5 linked regions of the Macaca mulatta genome follow. The protein of the gene in region 2 interacts with the protein of the main gene of each other region in a pairwise test. Links are inferred from orthologs where the notes say so. Each region holds a gene or a part of one and is shown on either strand. Other genes may lie near its edges.

The links.
Region 1: the proteins of PGBD1 (region 2) and ZNF24 interact in binary tests that used the Homo sapiens proteins (3 or more experiments, as listed by UniProt). The two-hybrid records come from large-scale screens. The link is inferred for Macaca mulatta from reciprocal best matches to the Homo sapiens genes PGBD1 and ZNF24.
Region 3: the proteins of PGBD1 (region 2) and MEOX2 interact in binary tests that used the Homo sapiens proteins (3 or more experiments, as listed by UniProt). The two-hybrid records come from large-scale screens. The link is inferred for Macaca mulatta from reciprocal best matches to the Homo sapiens genes PGBD1 and MEOX2.
Region 4: the proteins of PGBD1 (region 2) and NR4A1 interact in binary tests that used the Homo sapiens proteins (3 or more experiments, as listed by UniProt). The two-hybrid records come from large-scale screens. The link is inferred for Macaca mulatta from reciprocal best matches to the Homo sapiens genes PGBD1 and NR4A1.
Region 5: the proteins of PGBD1 (region 2) and ZNF496 interact in binary tests that used the Homo sapiens proteins (3 or more experiments, as listed by UniProt). The two-hybrid records come from large-scale screens. The link is inferred for Macaca mulatta from reciprocal best matches to the Homo sapiens genes PGBD1 and ZNF496.

What each region holds. Positions count from the first base shown.
Region 1 is NC_133423.1:57,126,644-57,133,291, reverse strand, and holds the start of ZNF24 (zinc finger protein 24), read right to left. Parts: upstream 4,127-6,648; 5' UTR 4,053-4,126; exon of another isoform or gene 4,043-4,052; intron 1,119-4,042; 5' UTR 1,036-1,118; coding exon 616-1,035; intron 363-615; coding exon 215-362; intron 1-214. UniProt on the Homo sapiens protein: Transcription factor required for myelination of differentiated oligodendrocytes. Required for the conversion of oligodendrocytes from the premyelinating to the myelinating state.
Region 2 is NC_133409.1:155,042,642-155,047,485, forward strand, and holds the end of PGBD1 (piggyBac transposable element-derived protein 1), read right to left. Parts: intron 3,485-4,844; coding exon 1,924-3,484; 3' UTR 1,709-1,923; downstream 1-1,708.
Region 3 is NC_133408.1:112,578,771-112,585,439, reverse strand, and holds the start of MEOX2 (homeobox protein MOX-2), read right to left. Parts: upstream 3,646-6,669; 5' UTR 1,671-3,645; coding exon 1,157-1,670; intron 1-1,156. UniProt on the Homo sapiens protein: Mesodermal transcription factor that plays a key role in somitogenesis and somitogenesis and limb muscle differentiation. Required during limb development for normal appendicular muscle formation and for the normal regulation of myogenic genes.
Region 4 is NC_133416.1:59,216,134-59,222,865, reverse strand, and holds the start of NR4A1 (nuclear receptor subfamily 4immunitygroup A member 1), read right to left. Parts: upstream 3,903-6,732; 5' UTR 3,809-3,902; coding exon 3,715-3,808; intron 1-3,714. UniProt on the Homo sapiens protein: Orphan nuclear receptor. Binds the NGFI-B response element (NBRE) 5'-AAAGGTCA-3'. Binds 9-cis-retinoic acid outside of its ligand-binding (NR LBD) domain.
Region 5 is NC_133406.1:1,728,319-1,734,321, forward strand, and holds part of ZNF496 (zinc finger protein 496), read left to right. Parts: intron 1-1,768; coding exon 1,769-1,901; intron 1,902-2,414; coding exon 2,415-2,522; intron 2,523-3,624; coding exon 3,625-3,738; intron 3,739-6,003. UniProt on the Homo sapiens protein: DNA-binding transcription factor that can both act as an activator and a repressor.

The sequences.
Region 1 (6,648 bases), on a different chromosome or scaffold from region 2:
TTAGGAAGGAAACTCAAAGGGAAGAAAAGGCTGAAGATGTTAATGTGTAGGAATAAAAGATCTGAGGCCAGCAAAATCAACTTAATCAGAAAAAAACTGAGATCTTAGATTAAGAGTGATATGATCCCCCCAACCAGTGAGAACAAGCAAAGTTCGGAACAAACGGCCTACGCTCTCTTTCACCCTCTAGTCCACACAGAGTTCTGGTCCTCACCACAGTGCCTTAGGGAATGGAGCTCCCAGGATGCCCACTTGAGCTGGTTCTCCACAGCATCAAGCTCAGAACTTGGTAATCCCTGAGCTTCTTCTTGAGATACCATGTCTTCTACTAGTACTTCCCGTTTTCGTCGACGGAGAGAAACCTGGAAACAGAAAGATGTGATTCAGAGAAGGAACTGTAATGAGAATCAGAACTAAAAACATGTAAGAGAAACCCCATAAAACAAATATTGCAGAAGCCTAGATGGCAAAGAAGCACAGATAACAGGGAGTGGTAGGGGCATGGGGGAAAAGGTATAAACCTAATTCTAATTTAGTTGAGTGGAATTAATTCAGCAGCTTTGCCTACTACTATGCCAGTGCTTCTGACCCAGGAAATGACACAAGCAGGCTCACCGGTTGTCCAGGGTCATCAAGTTCACTCTCCAAATCCTCCAGCACTGTCACTGCCTCCTCTCCATTCTCTGGATGATGATCTCGAACCCAAGTCTGTAGCTCTTTGGGTAGGATGGCAACAAACTGCTCCAGCACTACCAGCTCCAAGATTTGCTCTTTTGTGTGCGTCTCTGGCCTGAGCCACAGACGGCAAAGTTCTCGGAGCTGGCTCACAGCCTCACGGGGCCCAGGTGAATCCTGGTATCCAAACTGCCTGAATCGCTGTCGGAAAATCTCTGGGTCTGGGAGATGGTTCCAGGGGATACTTGATCCCTCTTCGCCATCAGGATCCTCCTCCAACTTCACTCTCAGAATTTTTTCCTCTTCATCTGGAGTTGGGATGATAAGTATTGAATCTTCTTCCACTGACTGTGCAGACATTCTGATTTATAATATTTCAAGAAAATACAACTGAGGCAGAATATAAGCCTCAGGGCAATACCCCGTTTTCTTCACAGGCACTCCTGAGGCACAAGAAATAAAAGATATATAAATAAGCAAAAATATCCTAAGAATTTGGACTTACACTGGTAAAAGTAAAAGATACTTGTTCTTTGATGGAGTTAAAAATTCCAGTCAATAACCTACACTAGGAATTGGCAAACTACAGCTTCGCGGCCAAATCTAGCCTGTCACCCATTGCTGTACAACTCTTGCACCAATAATAATTTTCACATTTTTAAATGGCTGTGGTCTTCACCACAGTGCCTTAGGGAATGGAGCTCTCTAAAATCAAATGAATACCTAATGATATTTAGGGAATGGAGCTCCCCAAAGTCAAATGAATACCTCATGACAAGTGAAAATGATACGAAATTAACATGAATGTGTCCATAAAAAATTGTACTTACTCATACTTCACGCTACAATAGCAGAGTTGAGTAGTTTCAACAGACTAGATGGCCTAAAAAAACCCAACACAGTCATGCACTACAAAATGATGTTTGGAGGCCGGGCGCGGTGGCTCAAGCCTGTAATCCCAGCACTTTGGGAGGCCGAGACGGGCGGATCACAAGGTCAGGAGATCGAGACCATCCTGGCTAACACGGTGAAACTCCGTCTCTACTAAAAAATACAAAAAACTAGCCGGGCGAGGTGGCGGGCCCCTGTAGTCCCAGCTACTTGGGAGGCTGAGGCAGGAGAATGGCGGGAACCCGGGAGGCGGAGCTTGCAGTGAGCTGAGATCCGGCCACAGCACTCCAGCCTGGGCGACAGAGTGAGACTCAGTCTCAAAAAAAAAACAAACAAACAAAAAAATGATGTTTGGGTCAATGAAGGACCACATAGATGACAGTGCTCTCATAAGATTATAATGGAGCTGAAAAATTCAAGATTCACCTAGTGACACTGTAGCTGTTGTAAGGTTAATGCATTATTCACATGTTTGTGGTGATGGTGGTGTAAACAAACCTGTTGTGTTGCCAGTTTAACACATACAGTTATGTATGGTACATAAAACTTGATAACAACAATAAACGACTATGTTACTTGTTTATGTATTTACTATACTTTTCATACTATACATTTTAGAGTGTGCTCCTTCTACTTATTAAAAAAAAAGTTAACTGCAAAATGGCCTCAGGCAGGTCCTTCAGGAGCTATTATAGAAGGCACTGTTATCACAGAGATGACAGCTCCATGCACGTTACTGCTACTGAAAACCTTCCAGTGGGACAAGATAGGGAGGCAGAAGGCAACGATATTGATAATCCAGACCCTGTGTAAGCCTAAGCTAATGCATGTGTTTGTCTTAGTTTTTAACAAAAAAAGTTCCAAAAGGAAAAAAAAATAAAAACTGGCTAGGTGCAGTGGTTCACATCTGTAATCCCAGCACTATAGGAGGCTGAGGCAGGAGGATCACTAAAGACCAGGAGTTCAAGGCTCCACTGAGCTATGATCGCACCACTGCATTCCAGCCTGGGCAACAGAGTGAGACCCTGTCTCTAAAAAATGAATTTAAAAATAGCAAAAAGCTGGGCCTGGCGCAGTGGCTCACACCTGTAATCCCAGCACTTTGGGAGGCTGAGGCGGACGGATCACGAGGTCAAGAGATCGAGACTATCCTGGCCAACATAGTGAAACCCTGTTTCAACCAAAACGAAGGTTTGCTTTATTTTATGTGCTTAAAAAAATTTTACCACTTAAAAAATAAGGTATTTAAGAACTCCTTGGACTTAAAATATATGTGGAAAAAATGTTCACTTGCTGAGTAACAGATCACATAATATTGAAAAGATCATATGTGAAAAACAGATCACATATTTTGAAAAATTATCTTGCACATAATACGTAAATATTCAGTCTTCCACCACACCATACGTACATTTATATTTATAATGATAGGCATTAATCACAGAAAATTCTATTAAGAAAAGGCACTCGCATTAGCACCTTAACTTCTTGCAGTGGTCCAGTGTCTTGTCCTTACACTGGATGACTCACAGTTTCCCCAGTTCTACCTTCAGGGAAACTGTATGCTGTTTCTGGACCTTTATTATTTGCACTATCATGCCCGTGCTGTTGTTTACGACACATACTAGCAATGAGCCATGCAGCCTATGAACAACAACTTAAAAAAACTTATCGTAACCCAAGCAAGATGAAGACTGGAATCAGAAAAGGCCTTATCAGACAAGTAATACATACTGGTTTAATTAAATACCCTGGAGTGTGGTGGCCTTATAAATAAGGTCTAGCCAACATTGATTTGTTCCTATTCCAAGACCCTGCTTATCAACGGTGCAACTATTTCTACATATATTTCTCTTCCTTTCATGCTGTAGAGCATACTGCTTGTGGGAAATGGAGGGAAGGCCAACGGTCCCGACAATGTTTGGTCAGAGCACCTCGTTCCAGGTGATCGCCCACCTTACTGCTGCATAGACCTGCTGTGTACCCCGATCCCGGCCAGTCCTCTAGCCCCTCTTCCCAGCACTCAGGACGGCGGATTTCACATGACCAAAGACCACCCTGTGACAACAGCGTCGGAACCACGGCACTTCCGCCTGCGGCCGGTGGGACTACAAATCCCAACAGCCCCGCGCAAGTCTCGCCCCATACCACCTCCTCCCAACACGACTCCCAGAACCCTCCGCGAGACGCCAGGGCCTCGAAATAGAACAAAACCGGCCGGTGGGGGAGGGGGAAGGTGAGGGTCTCGGAGGACACCGGGGGTTAGAGAGCACTCTGCAGACGCCGAAGACCCAAGCAAGCCTGCCGCCTACCTCTCCCCGCCCCACAACTGCTAGGCGCGGAGAGCGCGGCCTGTTCCCCGCGCCTCCCGGGAAGCTGAGGAAGGTCCCGGGAAGGCTTCCCCGCCGGCTCCTGCTAAGAGGTCCGCAGACCCTAGCCCGGTGTCCCCCTCCCTCCCATAACGTTCCCCGCACACCGGCGCAAACCTCTGGCTCAGGAACCGCAGCAGCTTCGCTGTCCACGGCAGACGCAGAAACACCGTTCACAAGCCTTTTCCCAGAAGCCCCCGGCACGGGCTGCTTCCGGTCTGCGGGCCTGAGGAGGCGGGGAGAGGTAAAGCCCACGTTGCCATGGAGAAGCTCCCCGGGCGGGGGAGGGGCGGCCCCACGACAATGACCGCATTGAGGCTGCGCTTGGCCTCGCGCCTCGAACAGCCTAGCGTCCTCTGGACCGTTTAAAAGAAAAGTAGAGGACTCTACCATTAAGATAGTCCTTACAGTTTCGCAAGCCCTTTCACGTGCATTATCTTGTGGATCCTCTAAGTAATTCCCTGCAAGAAGGAATAAAAGCGAGTATTTGTGAAAGCTTACTACACTGTGCCAGGCGCTCTCGTCGTGCTTTACATGTCATTTATTTTTTCACAAATAAATGATGTAGGAACTTTCATTATCCCCATTGCACAGCTGAGATAGTTGAGGCACAAATACAGTAAGTAACTTGACAAGAGCTCACAACTCATTTGTGGGTAGCAAGATTTGAAACCAAGACGTGATTCAAATCTTTGGCTCCCACTAGTTATGTCACGGAGCTTTATTCTGACCTATTTGTCAGGAAAACTAGATGAGACAGGTTAAGGGTTTTGGCAACGATGTCACGGTGAATTTGTAGAATGCATGGTCATCTTCAAGCTGGGCATTTTATACCATAAAACAGCTGCTGACGCAATCATTTATTACAAATCAGACCACTTCACTCCCCTATTTAAAGCCCTCCAATTTATGCCATAATAATTTATGACATAAAAACTCCTTATAATGTCTTGTAAGTCCCCCATGGTCTGTTGCCTGCCCGCACCCCCAGACCCTGGCGCCCCCAGTCACCTCAGCTCTTCAGCTCCGTGTGGCCCAAGATCCTCAGCCTCACCGCCAGCCTTTCATGACACATGACCCTTCATGGCACTATTATTAATGGAAGTGATCTCATTTATTTACTTGTTTTTTGTTTTGTTTTGCCTTTAAGTCCCTTAAGGGCAGGGACCTTGACTGTCTTGTTCACCACAGCATCCCAGCCTAGACCCAGGAAGCTGACTGCCTGGTAAATAGAGAACACAATAAATGTTTGTTGAATAAATAAATGAATTGTGGGATGGTTACATTGCTGCCTTTAGTTAGGTCACATGATTGGCATCAGACACCACACAAAGGAGCCCTGTTGTTTAAGGACTGGTCAAAAGTGTAGATCCAACCTAACATAAGCATTTCAAGTTCCTCAGGCTTTGACTTTTTGCCTCATTCGGGAAAATGCCCTCTGCAAAGTGCCGTCAGGCTCTGCTGGGTTCGTGCATGAAGACAGCAAGTGAGCCAGCAGCTGATGGTATACCATTGCTTTTCACTCCGACCAGAGCCTTTCTCACAACCCGTGCTAACACTTCTCTCTTCATTGCAGGAAGCTTCAGAAATCCAGCCTTTTCACTCTGCTACTTGGATACGGCCCCCAAGCAGCTTGGCTGCTCTTCCCAACTTTTCCCTCTTTTCTGATTCATAAAGGCTAGCTGAAGTCATTTTTGTTTTATGAGTTTTTACATCTAATTAGTGTTGGAAAACAAAAATCTCAAACGAAACCTTGGGGAAGTTAAAAATGTTGCAAAGTTTTACAAAACCCTTTTCCTGTGATTATATTCTGTTTGTTTCTGTCACCCAGGATGTAGGGCAATGGTGCAATTTTGGCTTACTGTGGCTTCGACCTCCCGGACTCGGTGATCCTCCCACCTCAGCCTCCTGAGTAACTGGGCATTTTATACCATAAAACTGGTGCTGATGCGATTATTTAAAATTACAAATCAAACCACTTCACTCTCCTAATTAAAGGCCTCCATTTTATGTCGTAATAATTTATCTTGAAATGCTTGTGGAAGGCTGGACTTACACTTTTGACAAGTCCTTAAACAACGGGTGTGCTCCACCATGCCCAGCTAATTTGTTTGTTTGTTTGTTTGTTTTTCAGAGATGAGGTCTTCCTATGTTTCCTGGACTGCTCTCCAACTCCTGGGCACAAGTGACCCTCCTGCCTTGGCCTCCTAAATTGCTAGGATTGCAGGTGTGAGCCACCGTACCTGGCCTCCATTCTATTCCTAATTCCTTCTAAAATACTACATGGAAACCACAGTGAGGTTTTCCTCACTAAGTTACTCTTTTGAAGGCAGACGCTAATAACACCTGCTTTGAAACACCATCCTTCTGAGGTCCTCTGGGATTTTTTCTGAATGGTGGCCCTTGTTGCCATCTTAAAGGTCTAGTCAAGATAAAACATCATGTTCCTCTGGACAACCTGAATGGAGGGGGCAGCTTCATACCAGGGCCTGACAATCTTGCACATATCCACATAGACCACATAGGCAATGCCTGAACCACAGCTGATCTGAATCTTGGCAGAACACCTTGGTATCCTCCCAGAAGATGAGCGCAATGAGAGACTTGTAAGCAGCTCCTGCAAGGCCATTTCCCACTCAGCTCTCTGTCTTCCAAAGAGACTGTCATGAGGCAGTTTCTCATTGCTTCCCGGGTTCCAGTGAGCCATTCTGCC
Region 2 (4,844 bases):
AGGTTTGGGGAGGGGGAGGGTCAAGGAAGGGTTTGGTGAGCAGTCAAGCAACATCACAGAACTGTGGTCTGAATGATGGCAAAGAGGTTGAATGGTGTGAATAGATTCAAGAGGTATTAGAGATGAGTGGTAGAAGAGGGTGACAGGTAACATTTAGGTGTCTTGTTTGATACCTGGGTGGTCAATGATTAATATTATTTACATAATTATGGAACCCTGGAGAAGAGAAAAGCAGATTTAGAATGTGGGAGATATAAAGTGCAGCCTTTGATAACTGCCAAGTGGGGATGGCTAGAGGGCTCTAAACATCAAGGCAGACATGAAAGTGAAATAAGAAGTTATTCTGTAACTATTTCCTGCCTATATTAGCAATTACTATCTGCACCACTCACTCATCATTTAACTAAAACCTGCACTCTATTAATACCCTTTTGTGGGTAGGTACTTAACCAGACACTTCATCATTTAAAAGTAGAAACCAACCCACCCTGGTGATGTATTTCACAAAGAATATCAGATCAATTACAGGAAGTAATGAACTTATATTTTCTTTGAACATCTTGCATGGAATAGGTGAATCTGTGACATTACGCATGGCTTACACTTTCACCAGTCATCCACATAATAAACACACCTGTTGAAAGAATTCAAACCTGACCACTTGCCTTCCAGCCAGGAAAGGGACTGTAAATATTAGGATATGAAAGAAAGGCAAGGAGCTGTTGTGGCTACAGCCCACAGAAATGAGGTGGAGCCTGTCTTCTCTACCCTCCAGACTAATCCACCAATACTAGACTTCAACACTAAGGAGTCACAGTCCATATCATTCACTTTTCCAAGTGTTTCTCCTTCAGTTACCTATCACTGATGACCTTAAGCCTAGATATCTGATCAGGTGATTTCAACATGGTCTTTACGTTGACTTTATGCCTATCTTTTCCTTAACTCTCCCGGTTACTTATTACCCTGATTTGCTTCATGTTTCCTTGATTTTCTTTACTCTCCTGACTTCTGCTGCCAACTCACACCATCACCACAGGATACACCTATCATTTCAATATTCGAAGGCACTGCTTCACCTCTGGTTTTTCCTTTATAGCATTCTCCTTTAATATCCATGCCTGACCCTTCTCACTTACACACAATCCAATCCAGTTTTACACCAATGCTAAGGTTTTTAGTCTCCTACCACCTATGTTTTGTTTAGACCATTCTTACTTCATAAGCTGTGTCACTAGTTTGAACTATGGAGTCAGCATCATTCTATGGTTACTATGACATTGCTTGCATCTTAAAAATGGCCGTCTTCAGAGAATTTTTTTAAAGAGGTAGGATTTCATTCTTTAAATGCACAAAATAGCCGGGCATGGTGGCTCACGCCTGTAATCCCAGCACTTTGGGAGGCCAAGGTGGGCAGATCACGAGGTCAGGAGATCAAGACCATCCTGGCCAATATGGTGAAACCCCGTCTCTACTAAAAATACAAAAGTTAGCTGGACATGGCAGCACGTGCCTGTAATCCCAGCTACTCGGGAGGCTGAGGCAGGAGAATTGCTTGAACCAGGATGTCGGAGGTTGCAGTGAGCCAAGATCGTGCCACTGCACTCCAGCCTGGCCACAGAGCGAGACTGTGTCTCAAAAAATAAATAAATGAACGCACAAAATAGTCAATTGAACAAATAAAGGATTTCCCATGTCTGACACAAAATTTGACATAGAGAAAAGTACTACAGTTCAACATTTTCACAGATAATTTTTAACATTGTTACAATAGTCCTTGAAACTAAATGTCTGATTTTTAAAAGTATTAATTATTTAATAACTTCATTACATATATCAGATTTACTTCGGGAGGGTACAACAGCATGTACAATTATTTTTCTATGTCTTATTAATGTCTGCACTATGTCCATTTTATGTGCCTTAATCTGACAGATCAGCATTGTGTTCCAAGTAGAAATGTGCAACAAATCTCCGAAAATCCAAGGGGTCTAGGGAAGCACCTGGGTTACAGGCTCTGTGTAGTTGCCATGCATTGTTCATGGCTACATCAATCACGTAGCTTACCAAAATTGAGTACCATTTCTTGCTTCTTATCCTCACCCGATACTTTGAAATAATTTGATCCATTTTAGCTACACCTTCCTTGCATTCATCATACACTTTTACTATGGATGGTTGACTTATCTGAGGGATTTCCTCATCATCAGCATCACAATAACTTATCTCATTGACTGGTTCTATGCCCACAGCATTGGAGCACAGACTGATAATGCCATCCCCATACCAACGACATAAAATTATCTCATTGTTTTCTTCTACTTGGAAATCAAAATACCCTCTCTTCATTTTTTTCATATGTTCTACATTCATAAGGGGACATTTTTCGGTCCTGTTCTCACGAATTGTTCCTGTTGCCCTCACCCCCTTCTTCTTCAAGGCTGACAACAATTTGATACTGGTAAAGAAGCTATCAAAACACAGGTGATAGGGATACTGACCTCTCTCTAAAAGAACATCAGCAAAGTTCATTACTAGATTTCCACCTAACCCAAGGTCAGGATCCTCATCTATCTTCATAGTTGATTGTTCTTGATAGGGCTCAAACCAAACCAGATAACCCTGTGTGGTTGTACCACACCAAATTTTATATCCAATTCTAACAGGCTTTCCATTCAGGAATTGGTCACTATCAAAGCATTCACACATTGACTTATCAAAGCAATAGTATTCTTCCAAGGGAGCATACAAGAGGAAATTTTTATTCATTTGTTTTATGAGAGGTCTCAACTTTGTAAACTTATCTTTTTGATCTAGGTGGCCATTATCTGCAAAGTGCAGATTTGAGAAAATCAATTCAAATCTGTCCCTTCTGATTGCATCTCTAACCAGGTTCTGATTGGTGTCAGAGATTTCCCAATACATTCCCCTTCTAGGATGCCTCATAAATCCACTCAAAAGTAGGACACCAAACACACACCTCATTTCCTGAACTGTGACTTCCAAGCTGACATTTTTCTGAGAAGCATAATTATTGGTTTCATTGACAATTAAGTTGAATGTTTCATCATCAAAAAATAATTCAAAAAGCTCTACTGGATTCAACTTTTCACTCTTGAGATTCAAAAGTCCAGAATCTAGTGCTGACCAGCTTGGAAAGTTGGGTTTAATGTCTCTTTTGGTCCAACTCTTTTCTGGGAAACAAGACACCTTTAACTTCTTTTGAGCAGGCTGGATCTCAGGCTCATTATCTTTTTCCACATCTGAGTCACCAGAGAATGAGAGACCTTGGAGCAGTTCACTCACTCGAGCTTTGTCTTTTCTTCTCCCTTTTCGAGTAATGTCTCCTGCAGCATATTCCAAGGATGAGATGTGCATCCGGGCCCACAAATCACCTGGGTGACGGTCCTTCAGAGTGTTCAAATGTGTAACTGTCCTTTCAGCAGGGATAGGAGTACTACAAGGAATCTGGGGTGCACACTCTCTGGGAAAGAAAAAAAGAACATGTTATAAAAATCCTCAATCATATTCTCTCACACATGATAAATCTGCTGAAGCTTAAATCTTTCGTGGCTTGGGGTGGGGAGGAGATACTTATTTCTCTTTTTTTCCATGGGAAGGACTTTGGCTAGATTGAACATTTCTAGCCTCTCTCTACCTCTTACTCCTCAGAATGGAACTAACTGTTGAGCCTGGGAGAAAGAACTGGGTATCCTTGGTACACCCCTCTCTCTGTCCTCTTTAGGAGCAGGATGCAGACATCCCATGCTCCTTGGTGCCCCAAGTTGCATTGAGAAGACCTATGCAGAGGGACATCTGCTACATTCCTCCTCTGCCAGTACAAGCCTATTTAGCTCTGCCTTTAAGCCGTTTTTATCTGTTCTAACTTCTGTCAGTAAGAAACTGAGGTTTCCAGAACCATCTATTTTACTCCTGCGACCCTGTCAATTGGTTCTGAACCTGAACACGAAACAAAGGTTATTATTTACCAGGTCTCCTCACACCTCTCACAGAATTTCTGAATATGGAAGGACTTAGCCCCTGCTAGTTCTATATTCATCTGATGGACATACTACTCTGGGGAAGAACAAATGAAACTCAACTCTCAACTCATTGCACTTGGACTGATTTTTATCAGGTCTACAAGGAAGTAAGCTAAAGTTACAAAGATGAAATTTTTTTTTTTTTTTTTTTTTGAGACAGAATCTAGCTCTGTCACCCAGGCTGGAGTGCAGTGGCATGATTTCAGCTCACTGCCACCTCCGCCTCCCAGGTTCAAGCGATTCTCCTGCCTCAGCCTCCCGAGTAGCTGGGACTACAGGCACGTGCCACCATGCCCAGCTAATTTTTGTATTTTTAGTACAGACAGGGTTTCACTGTGTTGGCCAGGCTGGTCTCAAACTCCTGACCTCGTGATCCACTCACCTTGGCCTCCCAAAGTGCTGGGATTACAAGTGTGAGCCACTGCGCCTGGCTGAAAAGTATTATTTTACACAAACTTTTTAATTTTTAGATATGTGCATTCCTTGATCACACTGAGTCTTTCTACTGTTGACATCTAAACTCTAATAGCTACAGTGCATTAAGCCCAATATTGTGAGGGAAGGAAATGGGAGTGAGAAATGGGAAAAAAGAGTGAGCTAAGAAAGTGGGGTGGAGGTGAGGGAGGGGGACTCAAAGCAGGGCAGGGGGCTAGACCTTTGATACCATGGTTAAGCTATTGCACCAAACCTGAAATAGCCTACCTTCAGACTTTTTGTTATATGAATATCTTTATTCTTATAGGCACTGTGAATTACCTGATAGTTGCCTGATAATAAATGTACCTCACAGACACAACAACA
Region 3 (6,669 bases), on a different chromosome or scaffold from region 2:
GCAAATATTATATTAAACAAATGATATCTTCCAAAAATATGCAATCCAGGTTGCACTATAGCCACGAAAGAAAACTCACAAGTCTCTTAATTTTAAAGTATCTTTTAACAATTTTATGATAATACAGGTAGGTAAGAGCTTTGAAAAGTGGTCTGGAAAACTTTGAGTTTCTCTGGATTGCTACAGAAAAGTTACTCGGCAAGTGTGTCTTCAAGTACCAGAGGTCAGAAAGGTTTCCCTTTTCCGTGGCTGCTCAAATTATCCCCCACTAAAATCAGCGCCTCCGACGCGCACCCTTACATACCACCTTCAGGCACGTAGCTAACTAACACTACCCGAGCTACTGTTGCTTCGCTGTATTTGTCTCTACTAATACCCACTTGGTAGAGGGATTTGTTTTCCACTTTTGAAACGTTGATTCTGTAATTAGCTTACACCACATGAACATGTACTATTAAGGTTCGTCTTTCTTCCAATGTGAGCATCTATTTATTTACAATTCTCTGACACATTCCTTAAAATCTGAATTCCTAGATAATGTCTTTTTCCCCAATAAAGGGAAAATTTTACCATTTAAAATAGGGTGCTATTTAAAGAACGCTGAAATAAGAATGTTAGAAAAAAAAAAAAAAACTAAAACTTTTTTTTTTCTCATGCGCTCTGCCAAGTTCCACTGCAAGTTCCAAATATTGTGCAATGATTTGGAAATCCAGTTAACGATGGGAAAAATCGAGCCACTCACAGTCGGGAACTTGCAAGAGAAAAGTCAAGAAGCGGCACCCGCACGCACGCCTGCCCAACCGACGCTGCATCTCTGGGCGCACGCCCCTCCCTCCCCAGCGCTGGGATGGAAGGTCACGCTTCGCAATCGATTTCACAGCCACTTGTCCTTTTTTATCAACCTTCTGGTAAACTAGTTTAGGACCTTGGAGAGCTTAGAGCTGCTGGCTGTATATGCATTGCTCTCGGATAAACACGTGTCCCCCAAATATCAGGACCAAAGCTTCACCGCCGAATTTGGCCGCGGGAAGCCACAAAGGGCAACACATTCCCATATTCCCCGCTGCCACCCTGTAGTGCGAGAATCTCCCCTGGCATCTCTCCGCCCCCTTTCCAGGCCGGCGCGCACTCTCGAGGGTGCCTGGTGAGCCCTTACCTGAGCTGTCGCTTTTCCTCTTGCCACCGCTTCGCTTCTCCGCCTCCGCAGGTGACAGTGCCTGGCGGCCGTAGTCCCCCGGCGCGCACGCGGCCCCAGTCGGGGTGCTGGAGCCCAAGCTGGAAGAGTTGGAACACAGGACCGGAGGGCTGCTCCCCAACTCTGGGGGCCCTCCGGAGTCGGGCTGGAGGCAGAGGCTGTGTCGAGCCGCACTCGGTGGGGAAGACATCTGCGGGAGGTGCCAGTTGGTTTGCAGAGCCTGGTGCTGCTGCTGCTGATGATGGTGATGGTGGTGGTGGTGGTGGTGGTGGTGCCCCCTGTGATGCTGGCTGGCAAACATGCCTTCTTCGTTGGGGTATCCCGCGATTATGCAAGATGAGGAAGAAGTAGAGAGCTCGGGGTAAGACATATGGTCAGATCTTCCATGGAGGGCGAGAGAAGATTGGGAGAACGGGTGCAAGCCTTGCGCCGTGGCGTGAGGGCTGCGCAGGCAGCCAAAGAGCGGGTGTTCCATAGCATGCAAGTTTCAGGTTCCAGGCAGAAGACTTCAGGACGGTTCCAAAGGCCACCACCCTCTGTCACTTTTCACTGGAAACTGTATGATTTTTTTTTTACCCTCCCAAAGCAATAGCCGTGCACTTCTGCAGAGCTCGGATAATCCCGGTTCTGAGCCCCAGCGGCCAGTCTCCTTTGCATATGAACAGTCGGACCTGGAAGAGCTTCCCTGAACTACTCAGATGTCAAGAGTGGGAGAGGTTGAAGCCAAAAGAAGGTGGTCCCAGAGAACTGCTTTCAGGGGGAAATGGCTCTGAGAGGTTATAAATAGAGTGTAACGTGAGCTGGGGGCCGGCTTAGGAGCCCAGAGTTGACCACATGCAAACTCCCTCCAAAACTCCCGCTCAGTTTGCGCCACGCGCTCCCCAGTTCCACTTCCTATCGCCTGCTGGACAGACGCAGAGCGTCCACGCCCGCCCAGCACTGCCGGCTGCCAGGGCTACAAGCGGCACGCCAGTGCCTAAGTCCCGCCCGGGAGGGCAGCAGCTCTGCCCTCCAGACTCTGGAGGCCTGGGCGCGGCGCACACCACCCCCAACCCAGCACCCTGATTCCTACCTACTCACTTTCCTCTCCGGGAAACGTGATTTGTCAGTGTCATTTGTGAACTGTCACCTGCAGAAAAGCTAGGGATATGCCTAGCCTTTCAGGAACCCAAAAGAAGTAATAGGGTTAAACGAAAAGATCAGAGCTAGTTAGGCGCATCCTCGAAGTTTTTCAAACTTCGCATCTTCCAGTGCCCTGGGCGCCGCAGCGCGCCTAGGTTTTCACAGCTGGTTTCTGTGGGTGGATTGTTAATGGGCTGGGACGCCAGATCTGAGGTTGTGGGGATGAGTACCATGGCCTGGAAAAGGCAGTTCTCAGTGCGGAACCAAGAGGGACCCGGTAGGGTGGGTGGGAGGAAGGCGTGAGTCTGAAAGGGTTGCAGATGCCTGTTCCCTGGCATCCTCTTGTGCGATGCCAGGTGGAGTCTCCCTTCCCCCTCTTTCCTGGTCCCGCTCAATTTCCTAGCCACTTGTCCACCAAGAAGAAATTTTCCTGGGTCAAAAATATTTCCAGGCGATTTTGTCCCGGTCACATGAGATGTGTAGATTGCACGCACATATCTAGCCTTTCCCCTCAGGAGCTAGCCTAGGTCTCCGCAGTTTCCTACAGAAATCCACTCTCTTCCGCTCAAAAATAAATCCGCTAATCGCATCCCTTATCACCACCGTCCCATTTACTGAGAAATCTTACATTTCGATAGCTCCCAAAATTCACTAAGCTTGGGCACTTGGCTATAACTTTGCATCCCTGAAAATAAATTAGAAAATTTGCCTCCAGTAAGCATGCAAGAACGATGGCAGGGCTTTGAGACTGCCACTTGTTTGGCGGGTGACAGGGTCCGCTGGGGGCAGAGTCGTTTACACACAAGTGAGTGGCTCTGTAATGAGCAGGAGAAACAGTCAAGTCCCATCTGGGACCTGTCGCATCAGGAGAATATCTGTAGTCACCTATTCCGCCCGGGGCCCCAAATGCACCACCAGCAGTGTCGCCCCGTTATTTTCATTGTCTCAGGTGTCCAGAGGATGATGAGCAGGTCTTTGAAGTTGTTAGTGGGATTAATGGGTACAGCAAACTGGGCTAGACATCTGGTTTGAATTAGGAAAAAGTATTGATTAATCTTTGAGAGGTGTCCCCAAAGCAGAACCTTCCCCCTCCTCTTCCAGTCCCCCTGCTTAAGCCTCACTATCTTCTTTTCTTGTAAGTCATGCTGTAGAATAGTGGCTTCTCAAAAACATCCGTGTGAAAGATCGAATTGTTTTCTATTGCTTAGAGGTGGGGTGGAGTGGGGGTTGATCAGGAATTCTGAGATTTGTAAGCGCTGCTTTCTTTAACGGAAATTGAGCTCTATTTTGAGGGAAATTAGTTTTGCAGACTTCGTTTAAAAAAAAAAAAAAAACTAAAACTTTTGTTCACCAGCTGCTCAGCTTTTCAGTCTGGGTCTGAGCTGAAACCTGCTGCAAGTCTTTGACGGTAAGAATTTCTTTGCCGATACTTTGGGAATCTAATATTGTTTTAGACTTCGAAAGGGGGTGTTGTTCAGGTTGCACGTTTCTAGGGGCTTTAAGCACTAGCAGGATGGCGTCCAGGACTTAGATCTTAAGAATATTTCTTCCTGCCACTCCCCACGCCCTTGGCTCTTTAAGAATAAAAAGAGGTGGGGGAGTTATAGTCCTCTAATATCGTCGGAATATTTTTTGTATTTTCATTGTGTTTATGGTTTCAATATGTGCTCTGATATTAAAAGTTAAAGTACAAAGAGCAACACTAAACTTCCCCAACTTGTGTAGCTTCTCTATGGATTCTAGGTGAAAGCATTAAAGGCTTTATTTAAAGTGAGATTTAGGCAACCACCTCAATAAGCCTAACCAGAAATATTTACATAATACAATGCTGTCAACTAAAGCATTGTGGAAAATGTCAGACAAGACAGACTAAAATTACACATGATCTGCAGACATCAGTCCAAAACATCCACAATGGTCCTTTTGGTTTGCATTACATTGGTTTAGAGGAAGCTAAGCAATTACCAAATGAATGGATTTGAATTTAACCAGAGTGTTGCAGGTAACTAGCAACAAGAACACACAAATCTTTCATCTCCCAGAGCTGCCACTTCTTCTTAAACCTGCCCAGTGACTGTGCTGGATTTTTTCTCACTCATTGTGTCAGATGTTAACAATCTGTCCAGAAGTTTCTCTACAACCTGCCCCAGTCAGTCAGGCTCTAGAACTTTTTCTAGAAGAAAAATTTAGGAAAGGTTAGAAAAGGAGGAAGTCATTGCAAAGGCATGCAATGAAAGCAAAGGTAGTAAGACAGGTCTTTTTAATTGGAGACACAAAACATTTAATATCAACAAAAATTATGAAGTCCAGTTTTCTTATAGAAAACACAACATAAGGAAAATATTTGAAAGGAAAAAAATGAAGGACTAAAAAGGAGGTCTTGGTAAATTCCAGAATTAAATAGGACTTTAATTTTCTCTGGATTTCTAAATATGTATTAATCATTACATAAAGATTTTTAAATATTAATTTATTCAAATATTTGGAATAAGATAGAATATTGAATTTTATGTTCTAGGTTTTAGAGAAATTTTTAAAATGTAGTAAAAACAGGAAAAAAAAATCCTTAGCTTTCCTATAACAGCTACTTCAGTGTTCACATCCATAAAATCCAATATTGAGAAGATGCCTCTTTATTTAATGATATCAAGAATGGTAAAAATTATAAAGTTTATCATAAAATTTATATAAACAATCATTTAAAACTATATATGACATAGTATTTATCTAATATTTGCAATATACTTGAGTTTTCCTGAAGAAAAGTTATATTAATGCCAATATTTCATGGAAGGTTTCAATATCCAGTAACACATTATAAAGAGGTTGATTATGTGAAAAGGTAAGCTACCTAGCTCTTGTAGGCTCCACAACTATAATGATTTTAAATGTAGGCTAGGTTCTTTAAACTTGATGAGTGTGTATATCTATTGCTTCTTTGGCTTAAATATAATGACATTCAAGAGTAAAGGTAGAGATTTTTTTTTTATTAGGACTATTTTTTTTTAAGCGGAATAGAACTCATATTAAGCAACACAACAAAATTGTATTTACATTTTACTTTAAGATTCATGACGATTCTTTTAAAAGTTGCCATTCTTCTGCACACGTGTGACATGAGTTATCATGGTACTTCAAATATTTAAAATTAAGTAGGAAATTTTACTTTGAATTTTACCTAATAGGTAAATTTTCCTTGGTAACACATAGTCGTAATATAAGAACTTAAGGATGGATAATGAAATTAATATTGTAACTTGTTTCTGAAAACTTTATTGAGTATAGAAATATTATTTCTGTTATATTTTGCCAAAAAGTAGCAGCTACGTCCTTCAGTTCCTTCTTCTAAAATAAAGAATTTTGAAAATGTATCCAAATACGCTAAATACCCAATGGTAATTTATGTGATTTATGATGTACTTTATTTTATAAAACTAAGGAATTGATTTTCCCCCGGAACTATGCATTATAAAATTTATGGAACAATTTTGCTATGGTTAATGCATGTTATTTAGTGATTCCATATACTTTTACACATTTTTTAAATGTTATTATTTTTACATAACATTAATTGGTACGTTCACAATAAAACTTGTTGCATTCATTTTACATGTACCAAAATAAATGAACACTTAAAACCTTACTTCTAAACTGTAAAACAATCCAATGTACTTTGTTTTTCTAGTTTCTAGGTCTTCCTGCATTTACATTTATTTCTTTCAGGAATTAGTGGTTTTCTTCAGTTCAATTCCGGTATACTATAATCAATGAAACTGTTCTAAACACTAAATATAACTCTGCCTAAAGCAATAAGACAGAAAACAAAATAAATCAAAATTAGAACTATTTAACAGATAATCTTTAGAAAGCCAGCATGCAATATAGATTATGACTAATAAAATTAAATCTAAAAGATTGAATTAAAAATCAAAAATATATGCATTCTTTCATAACATGTATTCACACAGTTAATAAAATTCTAATGATCTTTTGTCTTTCTTTTTCTTTTCTATTTTGTGAGGAGTATTATGATTGGGAAGACATAGATTGCCTCTCAAATTTCAAAAACTTCTAACTGGACTTCCTTTTGTTCACCTGTTTTAAATCCATAATTATTTGATAGTTACTTCATAATAATGCTAATAGACAATAATTAATTTCTACATTTTCATTTGCATTCATGTTGTATGTTATTTTTATTGATAAATGTAGGCCTTTTCAAAATTTTATTATTGAAAATTATATCCTTTCCAACACAGGGAAATGTACAGGCAAACTAATTCAAGATAATTTTATAATGAAATGCTCTATATTATATTTTCTATAGCATCCAACTCATAACCATTACATTT
Region 4 (6,732 bases), on a different chromosome or scaffold from region 2:
CTTAGGACAGTGCTAGATACACATATCTGCTACATGTCATTATTAGGAGAAGTTCAATGAGGACACACACATAAAAGCTAGCCACAGACCCTGGTTCCTAGTCCAAGGCACCCTGGGCACCTGGCCTCTCCTTCCAGGGTGGAAGCCAACTATGTGCCTCACCCCACACCCCAGCCTCTTCAGCTCTCCCCTAACCCCGTTCAGCTAGAGTACCTTGACCCACATCTCTCCTTCTCTTCCTCCACCCACTCCAGTGCTCTCTCCTCTCGACTACGCTCCAGAGTGAGGGCAGGACCAGGCCTTCACTGGCTATTGGACTGCCCTTAAGACCGATGAGGTCTGGGAAAAGAGAAGGAGATGATGGGAGCTAGGAGGGACAAAGAGGAGGAGGACCCCAGAGGGTGGGCAATGGGCTTCCTCGTCCTCCTGACCTCTGCCCAAGGTCTACAGGCCAAGGGGAGGACCTCTGGCCCACAGTACCCAGGCTCTCCCCTTACGACATTACCAGCACCCCTCCCTCCCGATCCTGTGGGTATGATGGGGAGCAGGAAAAGGCCACAGGAGAGAAGGAGGGAAGGGAGGGCAGACTGGAACATCTGGAGCATCTTTAACCCTAAACAGAAAGCAAGACGAGGCTTCCAATCTGCCCCAGCCCATGGACTACACCTGCTTTCCAGGATGACAGTGTCATCCTCCCATCCCCTGGAAACTGGTCTATAATTTCCCCCAGCCTTGTCTTTTCTCCCTACCAGCCCACTGCTGAGAAGGAAGGGTAGGGAGGGCCAAATACCACCTACCATAATCAGGCCCAACCTGAGCACCCAGCTCTTCCCCATCTGGTTCTCAGAACAGGGGCCAGAGTCTGGCACCTGGTGGTGCCCACAAATGATTTTAGCATCTTCAAGCAGGTATCTGTTTCCCTGCCTGCTCCAGATCAAAATGCCCCCCTCAATAGTCACACCACAAGCATTTACTGAGGACCCCCTGGAAGCTAGGCAGCGTGCCCCGAACCACAGGAGAGCCAAGAATGAGCACACCAAGATCCCAGAGCCCCAGGATCTGATAAGGGATGAACCAAGGTCAAGGACAATCTGCACTGGGCAGAGGGCAAACCAAAGGCTGAGTGGGCTTGGCGGAGAAAGTGACCCCCAAAATGGGGTGGACCATCAGGCCAGATTTCAGTCCCCAGTTCCTGCTCCCCACCAACCTCATTTCCCAGCCACTCGCTGTGGTCCCGTCACATGGGCCTTCTCTCCCCACTCAGGGCCTCTGCATCCACCGTTCCCTCTGCCCAGAACTGGCTCTTCCTGATCAACCAGGTTTCCATTCCCATGTCACCTCCCTGAACAGCTTGTACCCCCACCCCACCACACTAGCCTGATTTTTATTCATCAGAGGTCTAATGTTCACATCTGTTCACTGGTTTATTACCTGTCTACCCAACCAGAATGTAAGGATGCTGTCCATCAGAATCACTGCAGAATCTGCAGTCTCTAAACTCTGCTCAGCACTGGCAGGTGCTCAGTAAGTGTGCGTGGAAAGGTGGGGGGTGCACATGCCTGCATTGGAGCTGTGCTGGGAGGAAGGTCAGCTAGGTGGGGACAGCATTCCAGCTCAAGAGCTGTCCCTTCCATTTGGGGGCAGATCCAAGAGCCAGAGCGTTCTTCCTTATGTTGAATCACATCCCTGACTCTAAAAGTCCCTGGATCCCTGCTCTGTCCCCTGCACTGGCCCACAGGAAGCCTCATTCTAGTCCTTCCTAGCAAGTATTTTAGTCTTTTCTTAACTAAACTGCTCCTTGCAACAGGACACCACTGACAGGCCCTCTGCCTGACAGGCCCTGGTGGCCTCCTGAGTACAAGCTCTACATTGGCCAATATCCCTACCCAGAAATGGGAATATTACTACTATTAGCAATAACAACAGCCGCTAATATTTGTTAAACAACATGTGCCAGATACATTAAGCACTTTACATGCATTTTCTCATTTCAGCCTCACAATGCTATGAAGAAGGGATTATTATTATAAACATTTTACCAATGAGGAAACTAAGGCCCAGAAAGAAATGTTAAGCAACTTGCCGAAGGTCACACAGCTAGGAATTGGCAAAACTGAGATTAGAACCCAGGGAGCCTAACCAAGGAGTCCAGAATCAGGCATTCTTGCTCCCCCTACCGCCCACTTGGACCTGTGTAGTGGATGGAGGCTTCACACTGCACAGAGCAGTCCCACAGCCTCCGTCCAGGGAACATGTCAGAAGCTAAGGGCCTGGGTTCCTGGGCCTTTGAGCCAGGCACAGGGCCTGAACTCCTCAGCTGACTTTCTTAAGTCCAGCAGAGGCCTCAGCACAGGCCTCGTCAGTCACATTCACATTGTTAATCTCAGCCCATCCTTCTGCCCAGTTGCCTTCAATTAGAATCTTGATTTTATACTGTGCACTTGTCATTCCTCACAGCTCTGCATGACTACAAGGAGTCGGCTGACTTCCTTTTTAAGTCTTCATCCAAGTCACCGATCTTAAACGTTCACTTGGAGTAGGTCTAGGAGCAAGTCTTGTAGCCCCACCACTAGGGCTCCAGGCCAGGCTGACAACAGCCCCCAAATCCATCAGCACCCACTGGGCATAACTGTTGTGAAACCGACCTCTGCTCAGCCTGCGTTTTCCCAATGTGCCGCTAATACTAGCCCCACATCCAAATTAACAATTCACTGTAAACCACCTCTGTAGCGTTTCCCCTATCCACCAGGTCATCTATCAAAAACGAAGGCATAAAAACGATATGAGCCTGCCAGGCGCGGTGGCTCACGCCTGTAATCTCAGCACTTTGGGAGGCCGAGGCGGGCGGATCACAAGGTCAGCAGTTCGAGACCAGTCTAGCCAATATGGTGAAACCCTGTCTCTACTAAAAATACAAAAATTAGCCAGGCGTGGTGGCGGGCGCCTGTAGTCCCAGCTACTGGGGAGGCTGAGGCAGGAGACTCACTTGAACCCGGGAGATGGAGGTTGCAGTGAGCCGAGATCACGCCACTGCACTCCAGCCTGGGCAACAGAGCGAGACTTCATTTCAAAAAAAAAAAGGGGGGGGGGTAGGTTGTGGAGGGGAATGAGCCAAGTCAGGGAACTGTGTCCTGTCCTCAACACAGACCACCATGGTAAGGAGGTCTGGAAATACCGCGCCCCCACCCCTCCCAATACAAGGAGGGAAGATGTTGCGGCAAAAAAACAAAACAACCACCAAAAAAACACGCCTGGGAGACACAAGCCCCAAGTCCTAATCCCCAGCTCCGCCTGATTCCACGAGACCCCTAGCTTTGGTTTCTTGACTCAGTCCCGTGAAGGGGTTGCATCGCGCAGCATCCGTCCCTCCCGGCTGGGTCTCCTGGTAGACTCCTGGAAGCTCCCGCGCTCCTGGAACCGGTTCCCGCAGCCGGCGGGGAAATGGAAGGAATTTCTCCGGCCTGGCCACCTCCAGCGCCCCTCGTGGGCCAAACCCCACCCTTGGCGGGCTGGGGAGAGAAAGCCTTGGCCGTCGCCCTTGGGGACTGACTCTGAGCCAGCAAGTTCCGCTGGGAATCCAGTCCCTCCCCCGACTCCCCAGTTTCCAAGCGGGACTCCGGCGTGGCCCTGAGCCCGCCCCAAGGCATCCACTAAAGACCCGAGATTGCCCAGCCTTTCTGGGGCCCACCTCCCGCCACACCGGCAGCCCCTCACCTGGCCCCGCGGGCTCCTCTAGCTTCTCCACTCCTGCTTTCCGGGGTCGCGCACCAGCAGGCCCTGAGCTGCTCTGCGCCGCAGGGGCGCCCATGCCTGGAGGCCGGGGGTCGCGGGCGCCGCGCTGGGACCCCGCCAGTTCCGCCGCCGCCGCCGCCTCGCGCTCTTGCAGCCGCGCCGCCGCCGCTCGGCGCCCCCCGCCCCCAGGAAGCCCCCCGCCCGCAGTTCCGGCCTCGCCGCGCCCCCCGCCCCCGCGCCCGCGGCCGCCCGCGCGCTGTCCCAGCCCCGGCGCGCCTCCCCCGGCGGGCGGGGCGGGGACCGTGACGCGTGCCCATTGACGTCTCCGGAATCCCGGCGGCGGCGGCCGACGCAGCCTCATCAATGGGGCTAAAAATAGCTGCGCCCGGAATAGCCGCGAGCGCCCCGCCCCGCGGCTCCCCCTACTCCGCACACCCGGTTACACAACCAGCGGCCAGAGCCGGGGAGCTGGTTCTCAGGTGAAGGTGCCGAGGCCTCGCTCACACCTCCCGAGGCGGCGCACCTGGGGCTAGGTTATAAATAAACTTACCCGGGGCTTCCCCAGGAAGAGGTGGAAAGAGAGAGGCCCAGAGAGACTCGGTGGCGGCCGAAAGTCACACAGCGATTCGGCTACTGGCGAAGGCAGGGCCTGGCCTTTTGAGTCTGCGGGCGCCCTGCCTGCATCGCTTGGCATTCATGCCATCCCAAGGGCAAGGAACCCAGGTAGTAGAGTACCCAGCTTCCACACGAGAAGGCAGCTTACAGAAAAATAGGACTTCCTCCTGAAGAGGGCACTGCCCGAGGTGGTGGTGCAGGCCCCGGCAAAGCCCAGATGATGGATTCACTGACCTGGCTGCTCCCATACCGCTGTGTGACCTAGGGCAGTCACTTGACCTCTCTGAGCCTCAGCTTCATCATCTCTAAAACAAAGATGATATGATCAGATTATCCACCCTATCTGGCTGTCAGGATGATAACAGCTGTGGAGGTGCCTTGTACACAGTAGACCCTGAGGGTTAGTTCTCCCTGCTCTCCCCAATCCACAGGAGTGTTTAATGCACTCAGAGACCCACCACCGTGGCCAGGAAGCCCTGGAAGGCCCACCCTCCTCTGACCGGAGTCTCCAGGCCCAGGCTTCCACGGTAAGAATCTTCCTGGGGGTGCAGGCACTTGGAAGGTTTCTCTCTCCCATGTGACTGGAGCCTTCTTTGGAAATGGGAGAATCATCCTGTCCTGAGCAAATCCTTCTCCCCCATCAGCTGCCCACTCAGGAAAGGCTGGTCAGGAAGGCCAGCTCAAGGTTGGAGCAATGGTGTTGGGGCTGGCTGGGTGGGTGGGGTTTGGGGTTACCATCTCTGTTCCTATACCTCCATACAGGCAAGGTCATTGGGGAACACCCATTAGGGAGGATGCAGTCATGTGCTCTGCTGTGCCAGCCACTAGTCACTGCTCCCTTTTGGAGCCACCTTAAATTATGAGCATGCTATACAATCTCCAGCACCCAGGCCAGGCCCCACGCAGCAAAGAATCTCTTCTGTGCTCAAAATTCTCCAAAAGAGGCCCCACACCTCCACTCAGCCCTCATTCCAGGGGCTGCATTCCTCTCTCCACCCCGCTGCCCACCCCCAGAAATCCTTTGCTGGACCAATCCTAAACTCTTGGTGAAACTCGGAATTCCCTTTCTCTCATTCTTCATAATGATCCCAAGAACCTCTGGTTTGTCTCAAAATCACCTCCCAAGAACCTGTACATTTCTCTCCCAGGTTCAAGTATTAGGTCAATTTACAGATAAAGAAACTGAGGCTTCAAAAATGGCAAGGTGTCAGGGTGGGGGAAAGGGACAGGCTTTTCCTCACTCACCCTGTGTCCTCCTCTTTCCTACCCCAGCAGCTCCTTTCCGATGGGCTTCTTAGAGGAGCAGCTACCCCACCCCCTCTTTTCCTTTCTTTTTCCAGAAGTCTAACTTTTGAAATACATTTTAAAATATTTGCCTGTGTGGGAGAAATACATTTATTTAGACAGGAAGGGAAAAAAAGGGCTCAGTTACCAGTTTTTCCATGAAGGCTTCCAGCCCACAGAGGTCTCTCCTTTCCATAAATACTTTCAGCATAACTTGTCTTTATTATATATTCTCCTATTTATAATCAAATAAAACATATTCTAAAATGTGGAATGCCAGAACACGCACACTTAGGGTGGCATGTGGAGGTGGCGTGAGATGGTGGAAGAAGCAGTCTCTAGAGGTCTGGGATGGACACTGGTTGTCAGAGGACTGAACAGCTGTGGAGGTGCCTCGTACACAGCAGGCACTCAGAGTTAGTTCTCCTCCCTGCTCTGCCCTAGGAATGTGATTTCCCACAAGAGGCTCTATCTCTTAGCAGCTGTGTGGCTTCAGGGAAGTTACTTGCCCTCTCTGGGCTTCAGTTTTCTCACCTCAAACACAAAGATAAGAAACCTATCTCACAGGGTTGCCATGAGAGTGTCTCTTTGATAGCAGACATAAAGCATGGAGTCTGGCACATCGTGGCAGATCTACCATTTCCATACAGGAGGACTTGGAGGACTTGGGACCTTGTCTTAAAGCTGTACATCCAAGGTGCTTACCCTAGCTTTGCTCAGCTGGTATGTTTATTGGGAATACTGGGGGTCTTGGGGGTTGCACAGATAGGAGCAATGTCACCTCTTAGTCATTACAAGTGTCCAGTAAACATCAGCCCCATTGTTGTCTCCCTGATCCAGGTCACTTGGCTAAGGAGTGGCCCAGCCAGAACCATAGCCCTGGTCTTCTGTCTCCATAGCCCAGGTCTTCTGACTCCCAGGCCAGTGCTCTTTCTACCCAGCCTCTTGTTCCTTCATATCTGATTCCTCTTTTTTCTACAGGCACTGCTTCACAGCCCCTATTGCAGATAGGAAAGGTGAGGAGAGAAAAGGTGAACAACGTGCATGGCCCAGGGAGTTGGAGCAGAGGGGAGACAGGCCCCACGGCCAGTGACGCCCCAC
Region 5 (6,003 bases), on a different chromosome or scaffold from region 2:
ACAGGCCACTGCAATTGGATATGCGGCCACAGAAATATCTAAGCAAAGTTTTGAAGGTGCAGCTTGTGAAATGTGAAAAGAGAGAAGTGATTTAAAGATGGGACTGTTACTTAAAAGGGAAGCAGAACTTAAAGATCAGGAATATTTGTCAGCCTATGTTGATAAGAGCGAGCCAGCCTGTTTAGGAGAGAAGATAAAGGTTTTGCCATTGAAACTGAGGCTGGGAGCTAGTCCAAGAAAATGGAAAAATGACCCCAAAAGCAATTCAGAAATCATCAGAGCTGTTCCGCCCATCACAGGCCCAGAGCACAAGACCCGCAGCAAGCAGGGGACCATAGCAGAGAGCCCCGCTTCAGTCACCCCTGAAGCCCTAGATGGTAGGGCCATCAGCAAAGTTCCAGCCCAAGAGAGCCTTGGACCTCTGAAGGAGACACAGAGCTGCCACAGAGGTGGAGCTGCCACAGAGGTGGGGCCACCACAGAGAACCCCCTTGAGGGCAGGCCCTCACTAGGGGCTGCCATGGGGCAGGACCACCCAGGGCCTTGGGGGCTCAACTCCTGCCCAGTGAAGGTGCCACCTGTGGGTTTGGAAGGTGGGGTCACCTCCCAACACAGTGGGCCTAGGGAGCACGGTATCAAGACAAAAAGGATTATTCTCGAGATTAATCTCAGGCCGTAAACCATAATGTGCTGTGACCTGTAGGTTTAGGACTTGCTTGGGACCTGTTACTCCTTTTCTTTTTTTCTATTTCCCTTTTTTGGAATTGGAATGTTTATCCTGTGCCATTCCACCTCTGTGTGTGTGGGGGGGGGTTCTTTTTTTTTTGAGACGGAGTCTCACCCTATTGCCCAGGGTGGAGTGCAGTGGCACGATCTCAGCTCACTGCACTCCACCTGCCAGGTTCAAATGATTCTCCTGCCTCAGCCTCCCAAGTAGCTGGGATTACAGGCACCCACCACCACGCCGGGCTACTTTTTGTATTTTTGGTAGGGATGAGGTTTCACCATGTTGGCCAGGCTGGTCTCAAACTCCTGACCTCAGGTGATCTGCCCGCCTTGGCCTCCCAAGGTGCTGAGATGACAGGTGTGAGCCACCACGCTGGCATCACCACTATATTTTGAAGGCACATAACTTGTTTCATTTCACAGGTTCACAGCTGGAGAAAATTTTGTCTCAGGTAGAATTGTGCCTTGAGTCTGAACCGTAACTGATTTAGATAATATTTAAATGAGATGTTGGACTTTGGACTTTTGAATTGATGCTGGAATGAATTAAGACTTTGGGGGTTATTGGGATGGAATGAATTTGTTTGGCATGTGAAAAGGATATGAATTTGGGGGGAACCGGGGCAGAATGCAATGGTTTCAGTGTTTGTATCTCCCCAAAATTTGTGTTGAAATTGTAATCCCCAAGATGATGGTATTAGGAAGTGGTGCCTTTTGGGGAGATGATCTGGTAACAAGGGCACAGTCCTCATGAGTGGGATTAGTCCCTCCTAAAAGAGGCCCCGGAGAACTCCCTTGCCCTCTCCATCTTGTGAGGACACAGAGGATGCCTGTGTTTGAACCAAGAAGTGGGCCCTCACCAGGCACCCAGCCTGCTAGTGCCTTGATCTTGGATGTCCAGCCTCCAGAACTGTGAGGAACAGATTTCTGTTGTGTAGAAGCTGCCTGTCCTACAGCATTGAGTTATCACAGCCTCAATGGACTAAGACTGAGACACCTAGCTCGTCCCGGACTGAGGCATCCCTGTTCTACTGTGCTTTCAGAATCGGGTTTCTCCGTTCAAGGACATGATTTTATGCTTCTCTGAAGAGGATTGGTCCCTTCTAGATCCTGCCCAGACTGGCTTCTATGGAGAGTTCATCATTGGGGAGGATTGCGGGGTCTCAATTCCTCCAAGTAAGACTTAACTTTCCCCCGTACCTCAAGACCAGGGAACTGGGCAGGGGGTTCTCACTTGGAGTAAGAGTCAACTTCGTCCCATAAGATCAGGGAAGCGGGGCCTGCATCATATTTCTCTGTTCACCCCCAACCTGGATGGGAAGTCATTTGCACACAGCGGCCCTATAGGCAGTGTGTCCGACTGATCACCTGCCATCTCACCTCATCAGGCTTATCAGAACCAAATAGAACATGTGCTGTATGTCCATTTCTCTTCCATCGCTCTTACCCTTTCGTCCCTTTACTTCTGCTTTACACCCAAAAGCCTCAGAGAGACCCCCAAGCCCATAGCTCTCCCTGCGTGTGCTGCCCCCACTGCCCCTGCGCTGCCGGCTCTGGCGTTTTCACTTCTCGCCCCTGATGGTGCCACGCCCGCTGGGCATCCCTCCACCTTTTCTCTTCTGGACCAGCCCTGGTTGCTGCAGGATCAGATTACTAATAAACATGTATCCTGCCTTTTTCTTTGAACAGATGAGCTAGCGGCCCAGCCGGATCTCTCCCAGAGAGAGGAGAATGAGCCTCGCGTTCCAGAGCCGCAGGATCTGCAGGGGAAAGAAGTGCCCCAGGTCTCCTACTTGGGTGAGTAGTGATTCCGGAACTGAGTGGACAGAGTAGGGTGAAGGGTTGCTGGCAGCCAGAGATGAACCCATTTGCTGGCTTCTCTCTGCAGCCCCTACTTGCCTTCTTCATTTCCCCAGACTCTATGTGGGTCTTGCATGTCTTGCCTTGTCCCTGACTTTTCATAGAAAGAATGGGGGATCTTAATTTTGCCAGGCATTGGGATTGTACTCCCTCAGCCAAGGACTGGGAAATAATAGGAATGTCTGTCTCCTCTGCCTGTAAGTAACATCTGGTTTGTGCTGACCATACAGCGGCCCCTCCAGGAGTGAGGTCAGATACTCACGACAAGCCTGGTTGCAGAGGGAGTGTCTCCTCCTAACTGGGCACCGAGCACAGCCCTTTGAGGTGCCTCACCTGTCTAGTCTTCCATCTGCCTGGTGCAGGGGTGCTGTGAGGACACTGGGGTGTGGGGAGGTGCTGGGGCTCAGCAGCAGCAGTTTCCAGCCCTCCTTCAGGCTGTGTCACCAGCGCTTGCACCCATGATCTCCATGCCATGGTGCTTCGAGGCACCTGCTCCTTCAGGAGGAAATTTGACAGAATCAGCAGCAGCTCCACACCTCCTTCCCCTTTGGGACCTAGAGCGTGAAGCAGACAAGGTTTTGACACACCATCCCCACCTGGAACAAGCGTTCAGAGACGGCGTAGCACAGTAGCTCCTGTCCCATCTCTACCCCGTAGGCTCTGCACAAGCTGTTTGTGCAGGATGTGTGCAGAGTGTGCAGAAGCCTGTGGTGATGACTACGGAAAACCCACCACAGAAAGTGGGAATAAATGCGGGGCTCGGGGAGGTACTTGTCTCTGCCATAGAGTAAGTAGAGTAGAACCCGGATCTGCGTAGACTCTGTCTAGCTTCAGAGCTCATGTTTGTGGAGTTGGCCCATTCTGCCTTCAAGTTCATTCGCTCAGCAGACACTTCCTGAGTGGCCGCCCCCTGCCAGTCCCCAGGAGGGAGCCCAGGGCCGCCCCCAGATCATAGCCTGGCATCTGTTCAGATAGCACCCTTCCAGGTAGTGCTGTAGGTGCAAGACAAATCAATTTTTCCGTTTCCTCCTCTGGAAAGACTCTCCAAGTCTCCAGCCATTCCAAGTAGAAGAAAGGAGGAAACGTGAGGAGCTGCAGGTGCCGGGGTTCCAGGCCTGCCCACAGACGGTGGTGCCTCAAAACACCTACCCAGGTAAAGAAGGGCCAGGGAGGTGTGGGGTGTGTGCCTGTGTGTCTGTGTGTTCACGTGTGTATCTGGTGTGTCGCATGAATGTATGTGTGCACGTGTGGATGGGGGATGGTGGTGTGGAATGCATGTGTGCGTGCATACACACGGTGTGTGTGGTGTGCTGCATGTGTGCGTGTGTGCGTTCCCAGGTGCACCTGTGTGTTGGGGGCATGTGGGTGTGTGATGGAAATGTGTGGTGGTGAGGGCATGGGACAGTTAGGAATTGAACTTCTTAGGATCTCCGCTGACCGCTGCGGTGGTGTTCTTACCTGCTTGCCCAGATTCCTCTGTGCTGTGGTCATTCTCCAGCTCACTCCCAGTCCCAGGCTCACCCTCCTTGCCTTTTCTGGGGACCAGGGAGGGTGTGTCAAAGCAGGGTGCTGCTGTAGTGCTGTTGGTGATGTGCGAATGTTTTTCTTCTCTCAGCATGGATGACCAACATCCTGGCACAGGGTCTTGGAATTGGGATTAAAGAGCAGGTTTCTAGTGTACTGAAGCTGCACAGGACTCTTGGAAAGTGTATGTTCCATTCCTGCTTTCAGAGAAATAGCCACAGTGTAGACTCTGAGTCGTCTTGGTAAAAGTCACCACCTCCAGAAGCAGAGGCTGCAATGCTGCCGTCTTTCATAAGTTCTAAATATCAAACCCAAGCCTCTGATTCTTACCGGAACCCACGTGTCACTGTAGTTTTCTGCAGCTATGGAGACCGACTCACACGCATTATGTGTTCTACCTGTGATGCTTTTGAAGGCAAGATTTGTGCCATTTTGACCCAGCTCCATGCATCTTGTACTTGGCCCCCTTTCATGCATGGACAAAGGGGCTTTTCTAGTGTGGGAGATCTGAAAGGATGAGATCCTGCTCCACAAGCATGGATGCCCACCCCTGGTTTTCTAAGAAGCCCACCTCTGCATGCCAAGGGTGATGCATTCATTTGGGGTCCACGTGGAGTTCAAGCGCAGGCTTGATGTTTGTGATGCACTTTGAATCTTCTCCAGCTTCTTTCTGCCCATAGCATGTCTCTCAGCCCTATTAATATACTTTTAGAAGATGGATGGATGTTCATTTGTACACAGGAGTTTTCAACTCCGTTCTTCCCTTGTTGGACTCTGACACAGACTGCTCTGAAACAGTCAGAAGCCAAGGGTTGCTACTGAGAAGGGAGAGATGATAGATTTCAAAGAGTGGGCACTGTTTTTATTTTGGTAGCTCCTGCCAGCTTGCCTTCCTAAAAGGCTTTTCCCGCCAGCTGATGCCGGATAGCTGGTGACAGGTCTGCTTCTCTATATCCACGCCCACACAGGACACTCCCAGATGTTGCTTACCCTCTGGTGTTTTGGGCAGACTTCTAGCAGTCTCATCTGCTTTCTCCAAGGAATTTTCTTCATATTGTTGTGTTGATAGCACATAATAGGACTATCCTTGATTTATTTCCCCTTTTGTAGAAATTATGCATCGAATTTTGGTCATTTTAGCTGATTTGAGGTGATGTTGTCCACTGTGAGCTATATTACTCTGTTAGGGCTTTCATAACAAGTACCACAGACTAGGTGGCCTAAACAACAGAATTTTATTTTCTCACTATTGCAGAGGCAACTAATAGAAGATCAAGGTGTCAGCAGAGCTGGTTTCTTCTGAGGCCTCTCTCCTTGGCTTGGAGATGGCCACTGCCTTGCTGTGTACTCACGTGGTCTTACCTCTGTGTTTGTCAGTGTCCTGATCTTCTCTCATAAAGACACCAGTCATATTGGACTGTGGAGCCCACCCACCCATATGTCCTCATGTTAACTTAATTACATCTTGAAAGAGCCTATCTTCAAATACAGTCACATTCTGAGGTCCTTTGGGGTTAGGACTTCAACATGAAATTTTGGGAGAACACAATTCATCCCCTGTAAGACCTCACCCTCAGGACCTTCAAAATCCATGTCTCTCCCACATGCAAAATCCATTCACCTCATCCCAACAGCCCCCAAATTCTCAGCCTATTTCAGCATCAACTGTAAGTCCAAAATCTCCTCTAAATATCAACGTCTCAAATGGGTATGGGTTAGACTTGAAGTATGATTCATCCTGAGGCAAAATCCTCTCCAGCTATGAACTGTGAAGCCAGATGTTTTCTGCTTCCAAAGTACAACTGTGAGAACAGCATAGCATAGACCATTCTCGTTCCAAAAGAAAAATCCAAGAGAAGAAAGGGTAATGGGTCCCAAGCAAGTCTTAAATCTA